2 linked regions of the Coturnix japonica genome follow. The protein of the gene in region 1 purifies or fractionates together with the protein of each later gene. This does not show direct contact. Links are inferred from orthologs where the notes say so. Each region holds a gene or a part of one and is shown on either strand. Other genes may lie near its edges.

What was found.
Region 2: the proteins of CTCF (region 1) and RPL13 purify together in Homo sapiens (affinity purification with mass spectrometry; 3 studies listed by BioGRID and IntAct, with this or other methods). This does not show direct contact. The link is inferred for Coturnix japonica from reciprocal best matches to the Homo sapiens genes CTCF and RPL13.

The regions. Positions count from the first base shown.
Region 1 is NC_029526.1:1,459,962-1,470,315, forward strand, and holds the start of CTCF (transcriptional repressor CTCF), read right to left. Parts: upstream 5,538-10,354; 5' UTR 5,489-5,537; intron 5,031-5,488; exon of another isoform or gene 4,794-5,030; intron 3,673-4,793; exon of another isoform or gene 3,605-3,672; intron 1-3,604. Other genes in the region: RIPOR1 (rho family-interacting cell polarization regulator 1), read right to left, coding at 9,402-9,499.
Region 2 is NC_029526.1:16,692,516-16,703,119, forward strand, and holds RPL13 (60S ribosomal protein L13), read left to right. Parts: upstream 1-3,924; 5' UTR 3,925-4,051; intron 4,052-4,290; 5' UTR 4,291-4,302; coding exon 4,303-4,406; intron 4,407-4,474; exon of another isoform or gene 4,475-4,556; intron 4,557-4,638; coding exon 4,639-4,780; intron 4,781-5,562; coding exon 5,563-5,736; intron 5,737-7,061; coding exon 7,062-7,118; intron 7,119-7,622; coding exon 7,623-7,781; 3' UTR 7,782-7,821; downstream 7,822-10,604. Other genes in the region: SPG7 (paraplegin), read left to right, coding at 483-646, 1,202-1,279, 2,473-2,682; CPNE7 (copine-7), read left to right, coding at 9,653-9,877. UniProt on the Homo sapiens protein: Component of the ribosome, a large ribonucleoprotein complex responsible for the synthesis of proteins in the cell.

The sequences.
Region 1 (10,354 bases):
GATGACAGCCATCTTCACAGCTCAGCCTGCTGTCATGGGCTGATCATGACACAGGAGAGCTCAGAGAGTCAAATACTCCCATCTCTGGGCATCATCATAACTTGAAATTACCTGTTGTTGTGTCTGAACTGAAATAATTTCCAGTTGTTGCCAATCTCAATGCAAAGACGTTAAGAAATAGGAAGAACAGTGGTGCATTTCTCCATCACACAGCCCAAAGGTTCATCGTGTCCTCTATGAAAACAACTTACATCACGTGCATTGAATCCATCTGCCTACAAATTCTTGTTGTTGAACGTGCCAACAAGAGTAAAGCAGCTGGCTGGTCTCCTTGGCAGGACAGTAGCAGGGATATCAGAGGACTGATCAAACCACCTCTGGGTTTTGCACAGTGAAGCACCATTCCACTGCACAGCACCATTTCCCAGCTCCCTGGGAGTCTATTTCCCCTTGCAGTTCAGTATTTGTTCCCTTATTTTTGCTCTAAGTTCTGACAGCAGAGCTATATTCTGTGTCTTGGTAGTGACTTCACCTCACAGGTAAGCATGCCAGCTCTGCTCACTCCATTAAAGCACCTGACAACGACATTAGCTTCTCTGCTGCAGCATCACCTTGGAAATCCACATTTAAGCTGTTTATCCACTTGACTCCCAAAACACAGCTCCGACACAGTGTTCTAGGATGCCATTGGTCTCAATTCAAACTCACCACATTGCCACGCTCCCAGATGGGCAGTTTTACACGCTGCAGCTTTGACACACACTTGGAATGTTTCAGCTCTGCCTCACTGCCTTATCGCTGGCTGCCACGCCATCAATCACCATTTTATCACACGTAGGTTTCAAACTGGACATTCTGTACTAACAAGAATCAGTAATGGAAAGCAGTGACAAGGACTATTCCTCAACTAACCCAAACTGGACAGCAGTCACTAATTTTATGCACTGGTTTTCATTCTGTGAGGTTCTCAAGACAGGTTTACCAAAGTTGAACTTACCAAGCTTTGGTTAAGTTTGCCTCCTTTTATACCAACACATCAGCATTTCCTCCAATTTCCTGCACTTTCTCTGCTATTCCAAAGTGCTTCACCTACCCAGTAGCCCTTCATTGGTACCACCAGGGATGCTCCAGTGATCCAAGTGGGAAGGAATGTGCTGGCCATCCCCATCCCAACATACATCTGAAATCCCTCCGCTTTTTAAGATAGAAGCTTTCAGAACAGCAACCTATTTCTAAATACCTCTAGGGATAATAAGCATAGCTGTGACTTCCCAATTAAGGTAAAGTAACTCGGTCCAGTTATATAACAGATGTTACTTCTCCTCTGGCTCACAGAGCTGCTTTACCTGCTGATGTTTCAGAGACATACAAGCTTCTAATCTTCACGCATATTAATACAGACAAAGGTATATGTCACGCTGTGCTTTGGCTTCCATTTTGTTAGAATCTGATGCACTCAACATAAATTTCTAGATTCTGGGAAGAAAAGAAGAGGTAAAATAAGACTTTAAGTATTAACTGAGCTTGGTTCACAGCCTCTTTATGTGGCCTTTACACTTGAGTGGCTTTAGAAATGTTAGGGGTTTGTTTTTGCAGCAGGGAATGAAGGGGATTGGGACAACTCAGTGACAAAACAGGATGTATGTGGGCAGCAAGGGCAGCACCCAGCTGCACTGCAGTCCCTGCCTGCACTCCCAGGGCAGCAAACATATCCTAAAGGAGTAAAACCTGGGAGGGTCCCTAAAACCAGACCTGTATGTAAAGAGTGCAGCTACACACAGCCAAGAGACAGCGTTATACACAGTCCTCTATAGGGACAGCTGAAGAACAGCTCTTCAAGATCCTTTTCTATCACACGTCTCCCGAGTGATGCATGTTAATGGCACATTTCTTGAGAACAGCCTCTGTGCTATTTCTGTGCTTTCACCCGCTAACAACCATATTGGAAAGACATTAAGATTTGATCTCTCCCAAGTCTTTATACTGAAAGAAGACTTCTGTTTGCATTAGACATCGAGATTGGATTGTTCAGTGTACCTGAACATTAACACGAGCTGAAAAATACAACTCCCCACCCACCTCGTGTGTACTCTACTCTCCTTTCCAAGGTTATTTCTGTTAACCAAAAAAATACTGAGATCACTGAGCCCAGCAGCTATTTGGTTTACTTATTAAGCATGCCTAGAATAAGCACACGCCATACAACTGCTGAAGAGTGACAGATAATTGGAGAGGAGGAGGAGGAGCAGCAGTGCTTTAACTGAAACCAGAGCATCCTTCAGTACAAAAAGAAAGCAACATCTTGAGTTACAGTCCATATAGGAAGGGTTCTAAGTTTCAGCCCCAAAAAACAAGCCACAAGAGCAGTGATCTGAGCCATTTACATGAGCAGTAAATATAATTTTGACCAATATAAAAAGGGATATTCACATATCTATGTGCAGAGCTCATGCAGCATTAGGTAGAAGCTGTACTGAAGCACCAAGGGTTGGTCCAACAGGCTGTGCAAGGCATCCAAACCTTCCAGAGCAACCAACAGGGCCTGCAGCTGAGCACAGGTCAGTACATTAACACAACTACTGTGCTTGCTTCCAGCTCCACAGCAAAAGCAGAAGCCCAGCAGCTGAGACACCACATGCTGCTGTGGTTGTGGCTGCTCCTCATGGTTAAGGATTTATAGAGCACACAGCGATCCCAATGCTCTGCTGCTCTCTCGAGCATTCAATCTCTACTAAACACTACGTAAGAGAAGCAAAAGTAGCCAAAGGTAGAATCAATTTGTGTGCAAAGCTTTTAGGACTATAATAAGGGCAGGAGAAGCCCTGAACCTCAATGCATGGCTTGTTGGTGGGCTCTCAGCTACACCTCTGCCAGATCCAAGGCCAGGGAACAACCCCCCTTGCAGACACACAGAGGAGAAAGCAGCAGCATGGAAGGAATTTGCTTTTTCTTCCTTTATACAATGTTCAGTGCTGGTTTCTCCAGTACTTGTGATGCCCCTCATTCATTTGCACAGCAACAGTAACTTTGGCCTTGTTCTCTCCCTGCCCAAATTACAGGTTATGGCTTTGTGTGCTTTTGGTTTTTTTCTTTTCCCCTCAGAAATAACCAACAAACCAAAAACAGAGCAGGAAGAGCTGAGCACAACTCGATCCCACAAGCAGTGATCAATCTGCCCAGGTACAGAGCATAAGGGCAAGGAACACGCTGGCTCTTCAAAGAGCAAAGAGCCCAGCAACACTCCCCACCTCCCTTCCAAAACCATCAGGAGAAAAGCAGGATATTAAGCACTACAGGGAAGAAATTCTTAAGTGATTAATAGTATACAAACAACACAGGTCAGCTTCTGGCCTTTACAGACTGAAGTATCAGGTAGCTACTGACCCGCAGCCACAAAGCCTGGTAGCAACACACATCCCAGCTCACAGCCAAGGCACAGGCTGCCAGCACCAGGAGCTGTGCCTGGATTAGCTCTTTCCCTTGCTGACGGCGTGGGCAGGAGCTGCAGCAGGCTCAGCACTGGAGTGACAGCTCAGCAAACTCCCTGAGCCATGTTAGTTCAGCTGCAGGGCCACCGGGGAGTAGAGCAAGTGCAATTCTGCACCTTTTGACTCTGACGTCGTGCCTCAAAAATATCCCGCGAGGAGCTTCGTGAGCGTTAAGGAAATCATTCGCTGCATCTTCCTTATAAATACAGAAGATATTAATACTGAGTTAGAAACATAGAATCATTAAGGTTCAAAAAGACCACTAAGATCACCACGTCCAACCTCAATCCATCCACACTGACAGCATCACGTCCCTCAGTGCCATATCCCCGTGGTTCTGGACCACCTTAAGGTTGGGGGCTCCACCACCTCCCTGGACAGCTGTGCCGCTAATAAGAGAATAACTGTATCCAACTGAAATTGCATAGGGCAGCAAGGGGACATAGAGACAGAGTCCTTCTTACATTATGGTGTCTGATAGTTTGGAGGTGCTGCCATACCTGCCATTGGGGTGACAGCCCCCATCCAAAGGCATTCAAGGAGCTCTCCAAAACAGGAGTGCAGCCCTTAAAGGACTTGCAAAACGCAGTCCAAAGAGAAAAGCAAAATGAAAGTAAGAAAAACGACCATCCTATGGAAAAAAAAGAAAGCATTGCTTGGTTCATATGCTCAAGACCTTCTTTGGTCCTCATGGTTTCTCCTGCACTAACATAGAAGGTAAAATGGGACTGAAGGAAGAATTCAGAGCCACTCCTCATGCCCAAAAGACAGCCACCAGTTCAACAGGCTCAGCACGAGCAAAGCGTGGGACCTGAGAAAGCACTTAAACACTTCCTGCACGGAACCAAATCTCAAGGCTGTACACACGGAGCAGCTCAGGCACTGTTAACAACACCTCTGGGGTTCATTAGCAACTGGCAGCAAACAGGGAGTGGAGGGGGGGGGGGGGGGGGGGGGGAGCAAAAGACCGGGTAAAAAATAGGAAGTCAGCAACAGGAAAGCGGGTGTGCTCTCAGCAGCAGTGCTAAGGGCTGAGTCCTGGGGACGGCCACAAGGAACAAAATGAAGGCAGACTGATGGCATCTGGAGCTCTAAGCACGGCAGGAAACATCAAGTTGATGCAGGGCGCAGAATTGTGTGCTATCGCCCCTTTTGTACGATTCAAAGCAGCGATATCCACGGGTTGGGGGGGGTGGAGGATCACATTTTGCAGTACGTTTTCTAGCTCGGAGCCGAGGCCTGCAAGGAGGGGGGGGGTGGGGGGAAGCGGGAGGGCAGCGAGGCGAGAGCGGGCGCCCCCCAGCCGTGCCAGGGCCGGCGCTGCATGGCGCTGCTCAGCCTGCCTTGCAGAGGGAGCTCGAGTCCCGCTCTGCGCCTCGCAGCGCCTCTCCCTCCGCAGCGCACACGGCGGCAGCGCAGCGAGGTGGCGGCAGGAAGGGGCTGCGGGCCGGGCCGGGCCAACAGAACCGCCGCAACGCTCCGCTCCGGCTCCGAAACCCCACGAGGAGCTGGAGGAGGGAGAAAAGAGAGAGCCCCGAGGAGGTGGGAGATGGGGAGGAGGAAGCGGGGGCGGGGGTATGGGGGGGGGAAAAGCAAGAGCGGCCGAACGGGGGGAGCGGGCCGGCGCGGAACGCGGGGCGGGGAGGGAGGGGAGGAGGGAGGGAAAGGGAAGGAGAAAGGAGGGAAGGGGGGGGAGGGGGGGGGCGGCGGTTCGCGTGGCGGGAGGGGGGCGGCCGGCGGGCCCCGGTGGGGCGGCGGGGAGACAAAGGGAGGAAAATAGGCGGCCGCCAGGGGCCGGGCGGGCCGCGGCCCAGCGCCGCGCTGTGGGGAACGGCGGCGGTGGCAGCGGGCAGGCGCGGGCCGCGCTGGGGACGATAGAGGGAGACAAAGCCCCCTGCTTCCCCGGCGGCGGCCGCTGCGGGGCCCCAGCCGGCGCGGAGCCCCATCGTGACACCTAGAGGCCGGAGAAAGCGACTGCAAACCCCCCGCTCACCGCTTACCTGCGCCCGCGCCCCCGCCGGGCTCCGCTCCCGGCGCCGAGGCCCCGCCGCACGCCGCCCCGCAGCCCGGCCCGGGCCCCGCCGAGCCGCCTTTCCCGTCGCGCCCCGCCGCGGCCCGGCCGCTCGCGCCCAGCACCAGCTCGAGGTTTAATCGCTCCACAGTCGCTTCGGACACAAAATGGCGGCGGGCGGGGCGGAGTGCGCATGCGCGAGCGCGGCTGCCGCGGACCGCCGGCTGGAGCGGGGGGGGGAGGGAGAGGAAAGGGGGGGGGAGGGGACGGCGCGCGCGGGGAAGCGGCAGCGCGCGGGGCATGATGGGAGGGAGGGGCGGGGCGGGGCGCGCGCCAACTTCAAACGCGGGCCTGCGGCCGCGGCGTCACCTCGCGTGCGTGTGTGCGTGCGTGCGTCACGTGGGGGCGGGGTCACGTCGCGCTGAGGGGAGGCCGCGCCCCGCCCCGCCCTGAGGGAGTGCGGAGTTCTCCACAGAGCGAGATGGGTTGGGACCCAGCACGGCCCTGCCCTGCAAGGGCTCTAAGTACTCACACACACCACGTCGGGAGTAACTGGCTGCTCATGTTCCATCTGCCTCTTGCTGGGAGCTGTCCTATGGCAGGTGCTGCATGTCCTTTGTGTGAGGAAGCAGAGACACGTTCTCCTGGCCTTTGCTTGGCAGAGATGCCTGAAAGCATCCACCGCTGTGTGCTGGGTACGGCTGAACCCTGGGCCTCGGGTCCCTCCATCACAGGCGCTTTGGAGCTGATTCGCATGGGATCCTTTGCAATGCATTCAGCATCCTGAACATCACCCTCCACGTTACACACCCAGAGGCAGATGTTGCTCAGGCATCAAAATCTGGCTCATTTCTCAGGCTTGAGACTCAGGTCACAGCTTGTGATGCCCCAAAGAGGCAGCGGCTCCTTGGGGTTGTTCTGCTTGGTGTTCTTGGGGTCACTGAATGTGATGTCCTGAGCTTTGCCAGCCCTAATGCTCCCCAAAGAGAGGATGTGTTGGCTGGTTGTTATTTGCTGGTACAAAAAGGCTGTGCACTCCTTTATTTACAAGGGAAACAGCAGTAAATGGGGTGAAGGAAAAAGCTTCTCAGAGCATGTGAGTAATGTAACCATGACACAGACACCTTCCCACGGGCTGCAGCTCCTGCAAAAAAGCAAGTGGCTGCAACAGTCATTGGTGCTGCTGAGCAGCACATCCGTGAGAGGGGTTTGAAGTGCTGACACATTGGGCTGACAGACATGGTGCTGGAGCACTGTCTCCTTTGAAACAGCAAGAATGCTGCTGCACAGTGCATATTCCTGCATAAGGGCTGGAGGGAAAAGTTCAGTCCTCCCTTTCCCATCACCAGTGCATCCTTGGTGATGCTATTGCAAGCTCATTCAGAACAAGGGGCTGGGCAATGCATTCCTAAATTGACTCATATATGTATATATATTTATTTTTTTTCCCCTAGATGATGTTAAAGCCACACAAATGAGGTTATTCCTATGAGTTCCAGGAGCAGAGTCATTTTGTCCTGACGTGCAGCACCCTGCCTGCCCTGACAGAAGGCTGCTTCCCTGCTCCAGTCTCTGCAGCCAAGGTACAGCTTATCCTGGAAGATGGTATTCTGCTGCAGGGATGGGGCCAGGCTTTGGCAGAGCAAGAACACCCACATAAGCTGCTGGAGCACTGAGCTGTTCTTATTTCCAGAGGTTAGTCAAGGGAAAAAGAAAGAACGCCAAACATAGAAGTCTGGGCCACTTATTACCTGCAGGGTATTCCTGTCCACAGCTATTACCCAACATGTGCCAGCCAAGACCCCTATCCTCACTCTGGGTCCCAGGTACCCAGCACAGACCTGGGTGGCAGAGAGCTGAAAAGAGCTGCCCTGAGTGGCCTCCTGGCCTCGCAGGCTTATGGTACTAAAGCACACCCCAGTAATGAGAGATGCCTGGGTGCCCTTGCTGCTGACATGGTGCTTCCTATCTCCTTACAAGGAAGCAGATGTCCCATCTGGGGCACCCTGTGTGCCATGGTATGCTGTCATCCCTTTTGCATGCTCTTACAATGCACCACCACTTGCAGCCCCCTACCAAAACAGAACAACCCAAGAGCCTGAGCTCCTTGGTACCTCTGGGTCCCCTGTGAGGGCAGCGCAGGCAGGCAGAGCCAGCAGGATAAGAACATGGAGTCTGAGGCAGCCTGACAAAGGACCTTTAGTAAGAACAGAGGTCCTGGAGGCTGCGAGCTGCTGGGCTTTGCTAAGAAACCCACTGAGATGCTGCTGGCCCCAGGGGTCCTTGCTTCTGCTGGCTGATGGGGCATTTTGCTGCTTTATCCTACTCAGAACTGTGAGGGCTGCTAAGGTGATTAAGAGATTGGAGCATCTGCCATATAAAAAACAGGCTGGAAGAATGAAGGCTTGGAGTGGTTCTTATCCACGTCTCTCAACACTTAGTGGTGGGTAAAGAAGACAGGCAGATTCTCCTTAGCGGCACCCAGTGACAGAATGAGAGCCATAGTGATAATAAAATGCAGGATTTCCATTTAAACTAAAGAAATGCTTTTTTCCTGTGAGGGTGGCTGAATACTGAAACAGGTGGTATAGCAGCATTCTGTCATCTCCATCCTCAGAAACAGTCAAAACCCAACACGACATGGCCCTGAGCAGCCTGCTCAAGCTAACACCATATTGAGCAGGGGGGAATGGAAGGCTGTGTTCACTGTGTTCAGAGGTCCCTTCCCAGCTCAACTCCATAATTCCTTGATCCGCTGTGGCTCAGTATCACTGTGATGAGACATACACAGTCCTACTGCTCTCACTTCCAGCCATTGCCTCCTTCCTCTGGGGCAGGTCAGGACTTCCCTGTGCTGAGTATGTGACCCTGCTCTGCCCATTGCAGCATGGCACCTTCTTATGCTCTGCAGCATCTTGATAACTCAGAGAGCTCAGGGGAAGCAAGAACTCCTTTCACTGCTACGAGAGATGCCTGTCTCACTGTTGGTAAAAGCAGAAGGTTGATCCTCAGCTGAGAAACATCCAACTTGGTCAATCCAGCTCCCTGCCCCTCGGCACCCACGCAACACCAACGCTCTTTTAAAGGTTTGCTTTTATTTCTGCTTTTAAAATCAAAATTAGTCATTCTCTGTAATTACATTATATATATAGATTTATAGAGACATTATAGAAAAAGAATTTGTTGCTTTCCTCCTGCAAACAAAAAAAACAGTAAATAAAAAATAAACCAACAAGGAAAAGGTGGCAGTGTCCATCTGTCCGTCCCTCTGTCGCTCCTCCTGCCCCTGCCCTCCCCAGCAGAGGGGAAGGGCTCTGGGCTGGGGCTGTGCCTCACTGTGCTCCAACATGGGGAGGGACAGGAGCATGCGGAGCTGGAAAGAAGAAACGCCAGCAGAATATATTAATATTATCTCATATCTCATTTTATTTAAGTCCTGCGGACTTCCAGGTGTGGCAAAAGGGGCAGCAGTTCCTTCCCAGCTCAGGCGACTTCTGGAAAGAAACAGCATCGCTTCCAAAGTGTTGGTCCTTCCAGGACAGGGCACGTGTCCCCAAGCAACTGGAAGGCAAGAGGCGGAGGAATCCAGTGCGTCTCCCTGCCGCTCCGATCCCAGCAGCTGTAGCACGAAGGGTGGGTTCCCTGTGTGTTTTCAATAGCAGTCGAAGGGTTGGGGTGTGCAGCGAGCCCCTCCTCGCACAGGGGTGTATGTGTGGCACCCCTTGTGGCTGGTGCTTGGGGCAGGGGAAGCGGTGCTCCATAAGGCAGTGTGCGGCCGCGGCGAGCGTGATGCTGCGGTGCTGCTGTGAGCAGGGCCGGTGGCTGGGCCCAGTCTGTGAGCCCGTGTGCAGCCCAGCAGTGCCTTTGTCCTCAAGGGATAGCAGGTGGCTCCGTGCGGCATCTCAGAAAGCTGTGCTGGCCATGCTGGCTGGTGCAAAGATCCGGGGGAGGCTGTCCAGGGTCTCCTCCAGTCGCCGGTGTGCTGATTTGCCATCTTCCCCTGCAAGCAATTGCCATAGTCAGTGAAGCAAAGGGCAGAAGCTCTGTTCCCTGCCCATCCCTGGCCTCACAGCAAAAATGATGCTAATGCCTGACAGTGCTGAGCCACAGAGCTGTTGGTAATGTGTTGGCACAGCTGCCTGGGGAGGTGGGGGAGCGCCTGGCTGTGGAGGAGTTCAAGAACCATGGAGATGTGGCACTGGGAGGGAGGTCAGTGGGCAGGGTGGGGCTGGACATGGGGATCTGATTCTTGTGTTCTCCTTAGTGCACCCTTGGACAGATCCCATCCCTAAGAGCCCACAGAGCTCCCAGTCCAGGAGATGAAGCAAGTGGGCCAGGCTTGGGGATGATGTTGTGACACCCCAACCAGCTATGCACTTCTGCATGCACCTACATGGCGACCCTGAGAGCTTCCCAACACCCCCACGTACACACAGGGCTGCACACTCCATGCTGAGATCTCTGCCCAGCAGCCCTGCACACAGATCTGCACACAGCAGCCATCCCCAGCAGAGCTGGTGACACGGGACGCAGGACACGTGTGTGCACAGCATTGCCGTGGGGCTACAAACAACCAAGACACATAGACTCCAAGAAGTGACGTGGCTGACAGGCTCTAAGACAGAGACATTTGTGAGCAAAGCAGCAGGAGTGGGGCTGAGGGATGAGGACAGCTCACATGTCCCAACCTGTGCAGCAGCTGCCGCGATCTGGAGGCCTAGAAACCCACTCAGATGGTTCTCTCAGTGCCATCTAGCAAATAATAAATAACACCCGTGCTTAGGGCTGTGCTTGCAGGAATCCTCGCTGCCCACCACCGCTCTCACCCCATAGAGTTCAGGCACCATGAGCTGGT
Region 2 (10,604 bases), about 15 Mb from region 1:
ATACTTGTTGCTCTGTCCAAGAGTAATGTGAAATGGGGGTTTCCCATCATTGGGAATGGGAAGGAGAAATTTCACAGTGCTTGTTTTAATCTCGGACTTGGGACTGTGAGCGTGAAGGCCTCTTATTGTGGATTCCAACTGTGTAGTCTCAGACTTGTCCCAAAGCCTGAGGCTACAGATGCAATTACACAGTGAGACTCTTGGCAGGTGGAAGAGCCTGGAGATTTCTGTGCCTTAGTTCCAACCATTTATAGCTAAACAGGATAAGAGTGGAGCAGTGGCAGGTAAGCAGTCCATATGAGCTAGCTACCAGTATATCACTCATTGTCCTGCAATGCACACAGTGAGGTAAAGTGCTCACATTCATGGATTCCTGCAGGTCCTCTAATCTCTTGACTGGTGGATTGTGTGTCTGTGCTGGACATACTCCTCTTGCTCTCATCTCAGACCTGCTGTACCTTCCTTCTGTCTGTCTCGCCCAGGAGCGCAGGATGACCTGAAGAGGGTGACCAAGATAGCCTACTCCATGGTGAAGCAGTATGGGATGGTGCCCAGCATCGGGCAGATCTCCTTTCCGGATGGGGACAGCACTGTTGGAATTGGCCGTCGCCCTTTCAGCCAGAGCCTTCAGCAGATGATGGACCACGTAAGGCTGCTCCTGGTCACCTGTTCCTCTTTGTTCTTTACTTTCTGTCCTCATTGAAAATTGCATGGAACTTGTACCCAAATGCTTTGCATTTTCTTTTTTGTTCAGCCATTAAGTAGTAAAATTCAACAACTGAGCACTGAGATACTCTGTTAGCCTGGTACTGTTCTGTGTATGAGGACTGCTCAGCGAGGCATTAAGAACAAAGTCACACACAGCTGTGAGTTCAGCCCAGCAGCACTGCGCTGCCTGGAGCTGCCGTGAGTGGTTGTGAAATACAGTCTGTTCTATCCATTGCAGTGTGAAAGCTGCAGTCTTGATTCTTTTGTGGACAAGACCCTGGAGAGCTTGTGGGAGGTATAGATGTGACTTGGAAAGGGGGAGAAATGCTCTGCAGAGTGGGGAGAAAGAATAACTTGAAGGAGATGGAGCTGGGGGGGGAGCATTGTTATGGAACTGAGGACAGATAACCAGGGAAGGAAAGGTTCTGCTGTGTGGAGGTCTCTCCTCCTTTTTTGTCCACTTGCAATACAAATCTCTCTTCTTATCTTCTAGGAAGCAAAAGTGCTGGTGGCTCAGGCCTACAGACGCACGGAAAAACTCCTATTGGACAACCGAGATAAGTTGCAAACGGTAAGCTGAAGTTAGGTGGAGTTCCTTCAACTGTTGGTTTTGGCCTTGATACTTTCTGTGCTCTGTAGCTTGGTTGTAGCAGTGTCTCTGTGGTCCTAGAATGCCTTGTAATGGGGATTCCAGGGCTTGTTTTGGGACTGCTGAATTGGTAGACTGGTGCTTTCCAGGTACCTCCAGGCAATTTTCACCTGCCAGCTCCTTGATACTCAATATATGAAGGAGGCCTTATTGCAGAAGTAGAGCTTTGTCTCCTCTGCTTTGTGCCTGGGGAGTCCCCTGGCCACTCAGCTCCCTTCCAGGATCTCTTTTTAAACAACAGCAGAAAAACAGCCACTTCCACCTACCCACCAGCAGGCTTCCTTGTGCATAGTAAGGTGTCCTGAACTTGTTTGCTTCGGCACCCTGCTGTTGCCCATATCACAGTTCTGTCCCCAGGGCAGTGCCCCAGCAGTGCTCTGAAGGCAGGCATTGTTGGGGGCTGTCCTCTCTGCAGGCCTCCTCTGTTCTGATGCTTTCATTTAACAACAATCAGATGTTTGCTAGAGGCTCATCACAGGAAAAACTTTTAAGTTAAGCCAAAATATCTACAGAGCGTTGCATTTGCCAGGTCAGTGTGTCACATCTTGTCAGCAGAACTGAGCAATTCCATGTTTGAGGGCCACCTGCTGCTCAAGCGTGGTCCTTCTGCTGGCAGAGGGACCAGAGAATTTAACTTTCTGGGGAGGACCTTCTAATGACCTTCAGCCTGCAAGAACAAAACAGCTCTTTGTTATCTCTGTGTCATGTTATTTATGTACAGAGGAGTATGAGTCTGGCTCCAGTCTCAATGCCTGTTACTGTGGCATCTTAGGCAAGGCCACAGGTGCAGCAACAGTGGCAGTAAGGGCACTTCTCTAATTGCCCCTGGTGTTCCGACTCTCCAAATCATTCCCTAGAGCAGCGTACTTTATTGCCTCCAGTTACACTGGGTGTTTCTGGCAAAAAAAGCCCCACTCTTGTGAGAGATGCTGGTGTCTGCAGAGCTTTGTTCTGCTCCAGGTCACGCTGTCTGTGGTGTGGTAGCCGGGCTCTGCTCCTCGTGGGCTCCAGCATGTGCTGTGTCCAGATGTTAAGGTCCAAGTTGAGCTGATAGGGTGAGCTCAGATCAGTTTTCAAACCTCTGTGCCTTATTATGCCTTATGTACTCTTTCTAGCTGTCTAATGCCCTGCTGGAGAAAGAAGTGATAAATTACGATGACATTGAAGCTTTGATTGGACCTCCACCCTATGGGCCAAAGAAAATGATAGCACCCCAGAGCTGGCTTCAAGCAGAGAGAGACAAGCAAGACACTAGAGATGAAGAAATGCCCCAGCAGCCACCAAACCATGAGGAGGAGGAAGAGCCGCGCCTGAGGCCGGTGTGAAGCCCTGTCCTGGTGCAGAATGGGAGGACTCCAGAAGCGTCTTTTGAACACAGCTTCTCAGCTCTGGAATCAAAAATAAAGAGCAGGGCATCTCTGTGATGCTGTTTCCTTGAAATTAAAGGAATGGCCACGTTTAGTCTTGTAACACAAGCTTTAACCTTCAGGGAGGAGAACTTAGGATTCTGAAATTGATTCTCAGCAGGATATTAGTGATTAGGAGTTGGGTAAGAAGCTGGAAAGAACCTGTTTACACAGGCAGTGTATGCCTTCTTGTAGGATGTGGGCTTTCTTTTCCCTGATTGATAGTTTCTGTTCCATTTTTACATCAAGGGTTTCAGAAGCAGAGAGTGAGGGAAGCTGTGTTCATAACCCAGCAGAACCTGATGGTGAGTTGTTCGGAGCCAGCACTGCAGGGAATGGCTCCATTGTGAGCTGGCAGAGCAGCGCTGCTTGTTTGCAGGTGTGAGTCCTGGGTGCATCTACACAAACCAGGCAGTTCTGCTGCCTGTCCTCACGGCATTGCAGAGCACGCAGTGATGGAATGGTGGGCTGCTGTTCAGCAGGGGAAGCACTGAAGTGATTCTTGTTGCCTGCTGTGCTCCGGCTGGGTCAGGCCCTTCAGGAAGGGTTCTTGAATGGAGCTGTTCCATAAAGAACTGACTGAGCTGGAGCTGAGCCCTCCCTTGGGGGCAGGGAGGAGGGTGACCTGCATGGCACTGAACACAGGGTGCCAACATGGCCCTGCTGGGTGCCCATGGTTTGGACACTGCCCTGTTGAGCAGAAACAGCTGGGGATGCTATTACACCGAATTGTTGCCCATGTTGTTGTTGTTGTTGTTTCTTTCAGGCCTCTGTTTCCTTACAGGAGCTCATTCTTTGTATGTGTGTAGGAGCTGGTTCTATTTGTAACACGATGCCTGAGCTCCGGGCTGCCTCAATAAACGCTGTGACACACGGATGCCGGTTGTGGCTGTGCTGATGGCGCTGTGCCGCTGCTCCCCGTGCTGCCGTGCCACCTGGCGGTACTGCCCTGCAGGGTGAGGCTGCAGCGGGTCCAACCTCCGCCAAGGTTGGGTGGTGGCTGCGCTCAGTGCCGTGTGTGCTGCTCTGGGTGGGAGCCGTGGCAGCAGCACCGAACCCGCTGCCCACTCGCGGCGTGGGGTGTGCGGTGCGGTAAGCAGTGCGCGGCCCCTTTAAGATCGCCGCCATCTTTACTTCGGGTGCGGTGAAGCCGCTTCCGGACATTTCCGGAAGCGTGGTTCTCATTGGGCCGTACGTACGGCTCTCCCTATTGGCCGCTGCTACCACACTTCCGGCGTGCGCCGCGCCGCCGCTTCCTTTTCCGGTCGGCCATTTTCCTCGGCGGGAGGTGAGTGTCGCCGTGTCCGCGCTCGGGCCGGGCTCCATCCGCCGCCATCCGCCGCCATCCGCCCACCGGGGGCCGCGCCGGGCCCGGCAGCGCTCGGGGGCCGCTCGTAGCTCTGCTCCGGAACCGGGGCGGCTCGGGGGGATGGGGCAGGGCCGTGAGGGGGGCTCCGATGGGGGCTGGGCCTGGGCCTGCTCCGGGCCTTCCCCGGCGGCCTCGTGTAGCGCTGCCCGTGTCCTTAGGCCGCAGCAGCCATGGCGCCCAGCCGCAATGGGATGATCCTGAAGCCGCACTTCCATAAGGACTGGCAGCGGAGAGTGGCCACATGGTTCAACCAGCCCGCGCGGAAGATCCGCAGGTGAGAGCAGAGCCGAGCTGGGCCGGGTGGGGCCGGGTCCCTCCTCGCGTTGTTCGGCCGCAGCCAAGTGATGAAACGTCTCCGGAATCGCTGTACGGCATTGATGAGTCCTCGAACCCTTCATGGCTGATGGCTGCGGTCGGGGTTGTCCGCAGGGCTCTGTCCCTGCAGGGGGACACAGCGATCTGATCCCTGCCATCATTCCGTGTCTCTGACCGCTGTTCCCCCGCAGGAGGAAGGCCCGCCAGGCTAAAGCTCGTCGCATCGCCCCCCGCCCCGCGGCTGGGCCCATCCGACCCATCGTCAGGTGCCCGACCATCAGATACCACAAAAAAGTTCGTGCTGGAAGAGGCTTCAGCCTGGAGGAGCTTAAAGTGAGTACGGAGAGCTGATGGTCACTGATAAGACTCACCATGGACCTTCAATTGGGTTCCATCTGAATGATGGTTGAGTCCAGCTCTGTGTCTGCCTGCGTTCAGCAGCTGTGGGTTGGGGGAGGAGTGATGTGTGTCAGCTAAAGGCTGGTTTGAAGAGGGAATGTTGCTGTGCCTCTGATTGGGCTGGCAGGTACCACGGTTTGTTTAATATCACATTCAGACACAGCTTGAATTGAGGCTCCTGAACTTCACTTTAAATAAGCAAGCAGCTTCCGGTCACCTTAAGGGCTCCAGCACCATCACCTGCTTCACACTGTGTGCTGTGCTCCCTGCAGTACATGCTGGGCAGCCTCCCCTGGTGTCTTGTTTAGAATCTAATAAGGACACAGCAGTGAAATTGGTGCATTAAAGCAGTAAGATTGGGCTTTTAACGCCGAGTTCCTCGTTACTTTGCTGTTCTTTAATCTCGGGTAATGCTGATGGCAGCACAAAATGGCACAGGGCTGTATGCAGTTAAACACAAAGCAGGGCTGTCACTTAGCATCACCAAAGTGTTTCTGTAATGCAGCGCTCAGCATTCTGTGCACCACGGTTATCCTTGTGCTGACTAAATCACTTAATCCAGTGCCTGTCAGAGCCTCAGCACCCCACTGTATCTGCGCAGGAAACCCATCTGTGTGTGGATGGCTGCCTTGCCTTGTGATCAGCCCCACGTCATGGTTGCTCTGTCCTTCCCTCCAGCAGCACAGTGGTAACTGCTGGCTCTGCTCTCTCTTTAGCTGGCCGGCATTAACAAAAGGTTTGCTCGGACAATTGGAATCTCCGTGGATCCCAGGAGAAGAAACAAATCCACAGAGTCACTGCAGGCCAACGTGCAGCGGCTGAAGGAATATCGCTCCAAGCTTATCCTCTTCCCAAGGAAACCGTCTGCACCTAAGAAGGGAGACAGCTCAGTAAGTACCTGCCTGTTAGAAAGGTGTGACAGCCCGTTTCTGCTCACTGCTGCAGAGGTTTGGCCGTCAGCCTGGCTGTGTTCTTGAATACTTGCAGTAACACAGACCCATAGCAGCAGGGCATGTTGGTTCCATACACGTACACAGGGGGTGACTGCCCGCAGCTCAGGGCTGGGGGGGCTGGAGCTGGGCTCTCCCTGGTGTCTGTGCTGTGGAATGGCTGGGGGTGCTGCACTGCTGGAGCTGCAGCTCAGACGTGGAGCTCCCCAGGTGCTCGGTTTTGGCCAGCTCACTATTGGTTTGTGAAGCTGGAACAAAAAGGTTGTGCGGGGTGTCTGCTCTGCTGCAGTTATAACAATGGGAAGAGTGGGGAAGGCAGAAGCTTCTCAGTTGAGCGAAAGGAGCAATTAGAGGAAATCTCTAGAAGGTTGTTGCTGTTGACATACAAAAATGGTTTTCATTAAGATCTCACCGAGAGCCAGAGTAGAGTTGGCTTTTCTCATGTTCTTGGCTGTTGTTACAAGCACACGCTTCCCACGGGGAGCTGCAAGTAACGGAGCCAGGCAGCGTGTTCCAGGCAGAGCATTGCAGCCGCCTTTAGTCCTACAGAGCCCTGTGTGCCCTGAGCTGCTTCCCATGGTGCTGCCTGCAGGGCTGGAGCTCGCTTGGGCCAGAGCAGGGAAAGGGGGGGGTCTGACAGAGGGTCTGAGCTCATACATGTCCTGCTTGGACGTGGAGATTGAGCTGAGTGTGTCAGCTTAGTAAATCCACAGGGTGCTGCTCTATGGGGGGACTTAAGGGGCTGCAGGGAGGGCAGACCTGAGCATTATGAATTCAGAGCTCCTCCTGAACCTCGGGTGCTGATGCACAAGATGGATCTGTTCCCCACTGCTGTGGGTAGCTCACAGAACGGCTGCCAAACGCGTTCTATTCTCGTTTAAAATTGGCTGGCAACACAAACCTGTGCCTTAGTGAATTGAGCGCAGCTCTCAGGTTGTCTGCTGCAATCTGTTTCTGATACCGGCAGATAAAGATACTTGTCTATGGAGCGGTGTTTCAAACCTATTTACTCGAAGCTCCCGATAGCTGATTTATTCATGCCTGTCACTGCCGAGCTCGCAGCAGAAGCTGGAATTGGCTGTGGAAGGAATTGCTGAAGGAAAGCTAAAAATGGCCCAGGACACAACAGCATTTCAGCTGGCAGCTCCTGAACGGCCACGGCTGCCCTGGCCAGGACGGTGTGCGGGTCTTTCATCTCAGTGCTGCACAGAGATGTTACATTCCTGTTCCTGATGTGTTTTTCCCCCCTCCCTCTTGTTTTGCAGCCTGAAGAACTCAAGATGGCAACTCAGCTCACCGGGCCGGTTATGCCCATCAGGAACGTAAGTGTCACCCTCAGTCTTGTTCTCTGTGGGGTGTAACAGAGCAGCTCCCCACAACCAGAGTCCTGTGGGGCTGGGGCAGCTCCTGCCTGCCGTGCCCATAGCCGTGCCCATTGCCATCCCCATTGCTATCCCCATTGCCGTGCTGTGTGTCCGTGGTGCAGCTCATTGGGCTGTTGCTGAGCTCTGAGGCTGATGCTGGCAGCTGCTGTTGCTGCACCACAGCCCTGGCTGCCGCTTCATTTTGCCTTTGGTTGTGCCTTGTTGTTATTCCCTGGTATTCTCTGCTCGTCTTGTTGACAAATAGGAGCTGGTGGAGACTTGGTGCCTGCTGCAGTGATGATAAGGGCAGGGCCTGGGGGGTGGGCACACAGCCTGTGTTCTTAGCAGCATCTTGGAGCCGGTGGTAGAAATATAACGAGATTAATTGTGTTGGGCTTTGAGCGCGGCCCCTTTGGCAGCCCCTGATGTGTGTGCTGACTGTCGGGCTCTCTCTGCCATTAGGTTTTCAAACGGGAGAAGGCCCGTGTTATCACCGAGGAGGAGAAGAACTTCAAGGCCTTTGCCAGCCTGCGCATGGCCCGGGCCAACGCGCGGCTCTTTGGGATCCGAGCCAAACGAGCCAAAGAAGCAGCAGAGCAGGACGTGGAGAAGAAGAAATGAGCTGTACTCAGAGCTGTCAATAAAGAGACACGGAAACAGAGCGGTGTGTGGCGTCCTATGAGGGGTGCAGGTGTTGCTGCTCCAGAGCTCAGCCCTCCTGCTGTGTGGGTATCGTCCCTGGGGGCAGCTCTGCAGGGACGGGCACTGTGGGGTCTGGGGGGGTTTGTTCTCTGTGCTGGGTGTCGGCTCGGGGCTGTGTTTGCTGCCTCCTGCCGCTGGGTGGAGCCGGGGCCGGTGTTCGGTGCTGTGGGCGCTGCCGGGACGCTCCCTATTGCGGTTCTGCTCCTGGTGCTGCTCTGCCGGGCCTTTATGGAGCCCCTAAAGCTCAGAACAGCCGCCCCGGGGCTCGGTGCAGCTCCGTGCCAGCCGTGTCCCTCGGTGCTGACCGTGCTCAGTCACGGTGCCGTGGGCTCCTTCCCGCTCCTTGGAGCCCTGGGCTGGCTCAGCAGTTCTAAGCTTTGCTGCCCAGCCTCGTGATTGAGCCGTCAGCTCATGAGCTGAGCGATGGCACAAACCTGGGCTGGCAGCAGCGTTTGGTGCAGGTATCGCTGTGTGCTGCCGGAGGGAGGGTGGCCTATTTCTGCCAGGCAATGTGGGATTAGCTCCCGCAGCCCAGGCCCCGCAGTGCCCTCCTGCTCGTTTAGCCCTCTCTGCACTTTAATCCCCTCTGAATATGGGCTAATTATATCACCCTTCCTAAAGCTGCGCTGACGGCGCTGCAGTGCTGGGGGCTGTGGGGGCTGCAGGGGGGCATCAGACCGGGGGGCCATGGGGCTGTGGCACCGGGTGACCCGGCATCACTGGGATCCTTCTGTCTGTCCCTGTAGTGGGGGGATCACGGGGATACGGGGCTACATGGGATGGGCCTTGGGCACCCTGTGGGGAATAGGGATGGACCGTGGGGTGTGTGGGGTCAGAGCGGTGATGGGGAGGAGGCTGGGGGCGATGCTGGAGCTGTGGCACTGCTGCAGTGCTGCCAGCTGTGCCAGCTGTGCCGGGGACCCCTGGCAGCCTCGTTGCCTGCGGGCGGGCTGCGCTCCGGTGCCGGCAGCGAGGTGGTTAACGGAGATTGTAGTCTCCCTCTTAGGGCTCCGCTCCCGAATTGCAGCTTGAGTCAGTTGTGTGGAGGTGGCAGCGGCGCAGCTCGGCTGGCACGCGGCTCCGGCTGCCACACACCGGCCGCAGCATCATCCGGCAGCGCTGAGCCCAGCACCAGGTAAGGGGTGGGCAGGGGGGGCACTGGGATCCCTTTGCTGGGGGATGCGCGGCCGTGCTGGGATGGTGCCCAGCAGAGCCAGGAGTGAGAGCTGTGAGCCGGGCAGGGCATGGCCCTGTGTGACTTGGGGGGAAACTTGGGCTGGGTGGCAGCAGCTCCTGGCATGGGATGGGGCAGCGGGCAGAAGCTGGGTGCTGTAATTGGGGACAATGGGGATGAGATGGAGGAGATGCAGTGAGGGAAGGATGGGGATGGAGTGGGGATGGGGCGGCAGATCCGGTGCTGCAGCACCACCAGGCTGAGCCCTGCCAGCATCCAGGTGGAGGGTGGCTGTGTGTCCCCAGCGGGGCAGAATCCCCCCATCACCCTGGTACACCAGCAGTTCTGCTCAGTGACAGCACGATGTGGCCAACTGTGCTTCACCCCACGCTGTGCTGACACCTCGCAGGGTTCCACGGGACCAGCAGGACCGGCCGCTTCACCTCAAGGAGAGTCTGTGTGCTCCCCAGCACCCGCCCTGCCCCAGGAGCCGGCTGATCCCCAGCAGCACCCAGCCTCCATCCCACACCTGGCACTGCGGGGCCCCCCGCCTTGGGATGACAAGCAGCTGCCCCATGTGCTGACAGCGGGGCTGTAGGGCTGCCCGGTTCCCCACATGCCTCTGTCCCACGGAGCCGCCTGCCCCCCATCTCGCCCGGCTGCCTCCCGCGCTGCAGCCACCATGGGCGAAGCGCCCGAGCCGTCCTCGCAGGCGTCGCTGGCCGTGCTCTCCAAGGTGGAGCTGCGGGTGAGCTGCCGGCACCTCCTGGACCGCGACACCCTCAACAAGTCGGACCCCTGCGTCCTGCTGCTCATGCAGTCCCAGGGCCAGTGGGTGGAGGTAGGTGGGGTGAGGTGAAGGGATGGGGATTGGGGCAGGGATGGAGCCGGGGTGGGTGCGGTGTCTGTGGGATGGGAGCCAGGCGTGAGGTGCGGGGCATGGAGTGGGTGCAAGGTGCAGGGCATGGGGTGGGGTGAAGGGTGTGGGGAGCAAGGTGCAGGGCATGGCCCCATGGCAGGGTGCTGCGGGATGCTCGGGTGGTGCATGGGGACAATGCGGGGCTTTGGCTCGGGGCGAACCTCCTGGTGCTCAGTGGCTCTGGCGGCACCCAGGAATGGGGTGCACACCGTGTGTGGGTCACGGGGAGCTCGGCTCCTTCCTGTGGCTGCCCCCCAGCTCAGCTCCTGGCTGGCTCTAGCGGCTCCACGCTCACTAATCAGTGCTGCTCAGCCAGCAGATTTAGCATGAAATCCCTCTGCATGTAATTGACTCTGGGAGCCGGAGCCAAAGCCAGCGGTGTGGGACCCTCCATGGGATGCAGCCCCCTGTGCAAGGTGCGGCCCCACTGGTGCAGCTCTGTCCTGTGCCCGCTGGCAGCTCTCTGGGTCCAACCAGCCCAGGACAAAACATGCACAGACATCCCCATGGCTGCAGCCCCACTGATACGGGGTTTGCCCTGGGGGGTGCAGTGCCCCGGGGCCCAGTGCTGGCACTCAGGGACAGCCCTTACTCCCGTATCAGGTACGGTGCTGCAGTGGTGTGTGCTTCTGCCACAGGATCAGTGTGA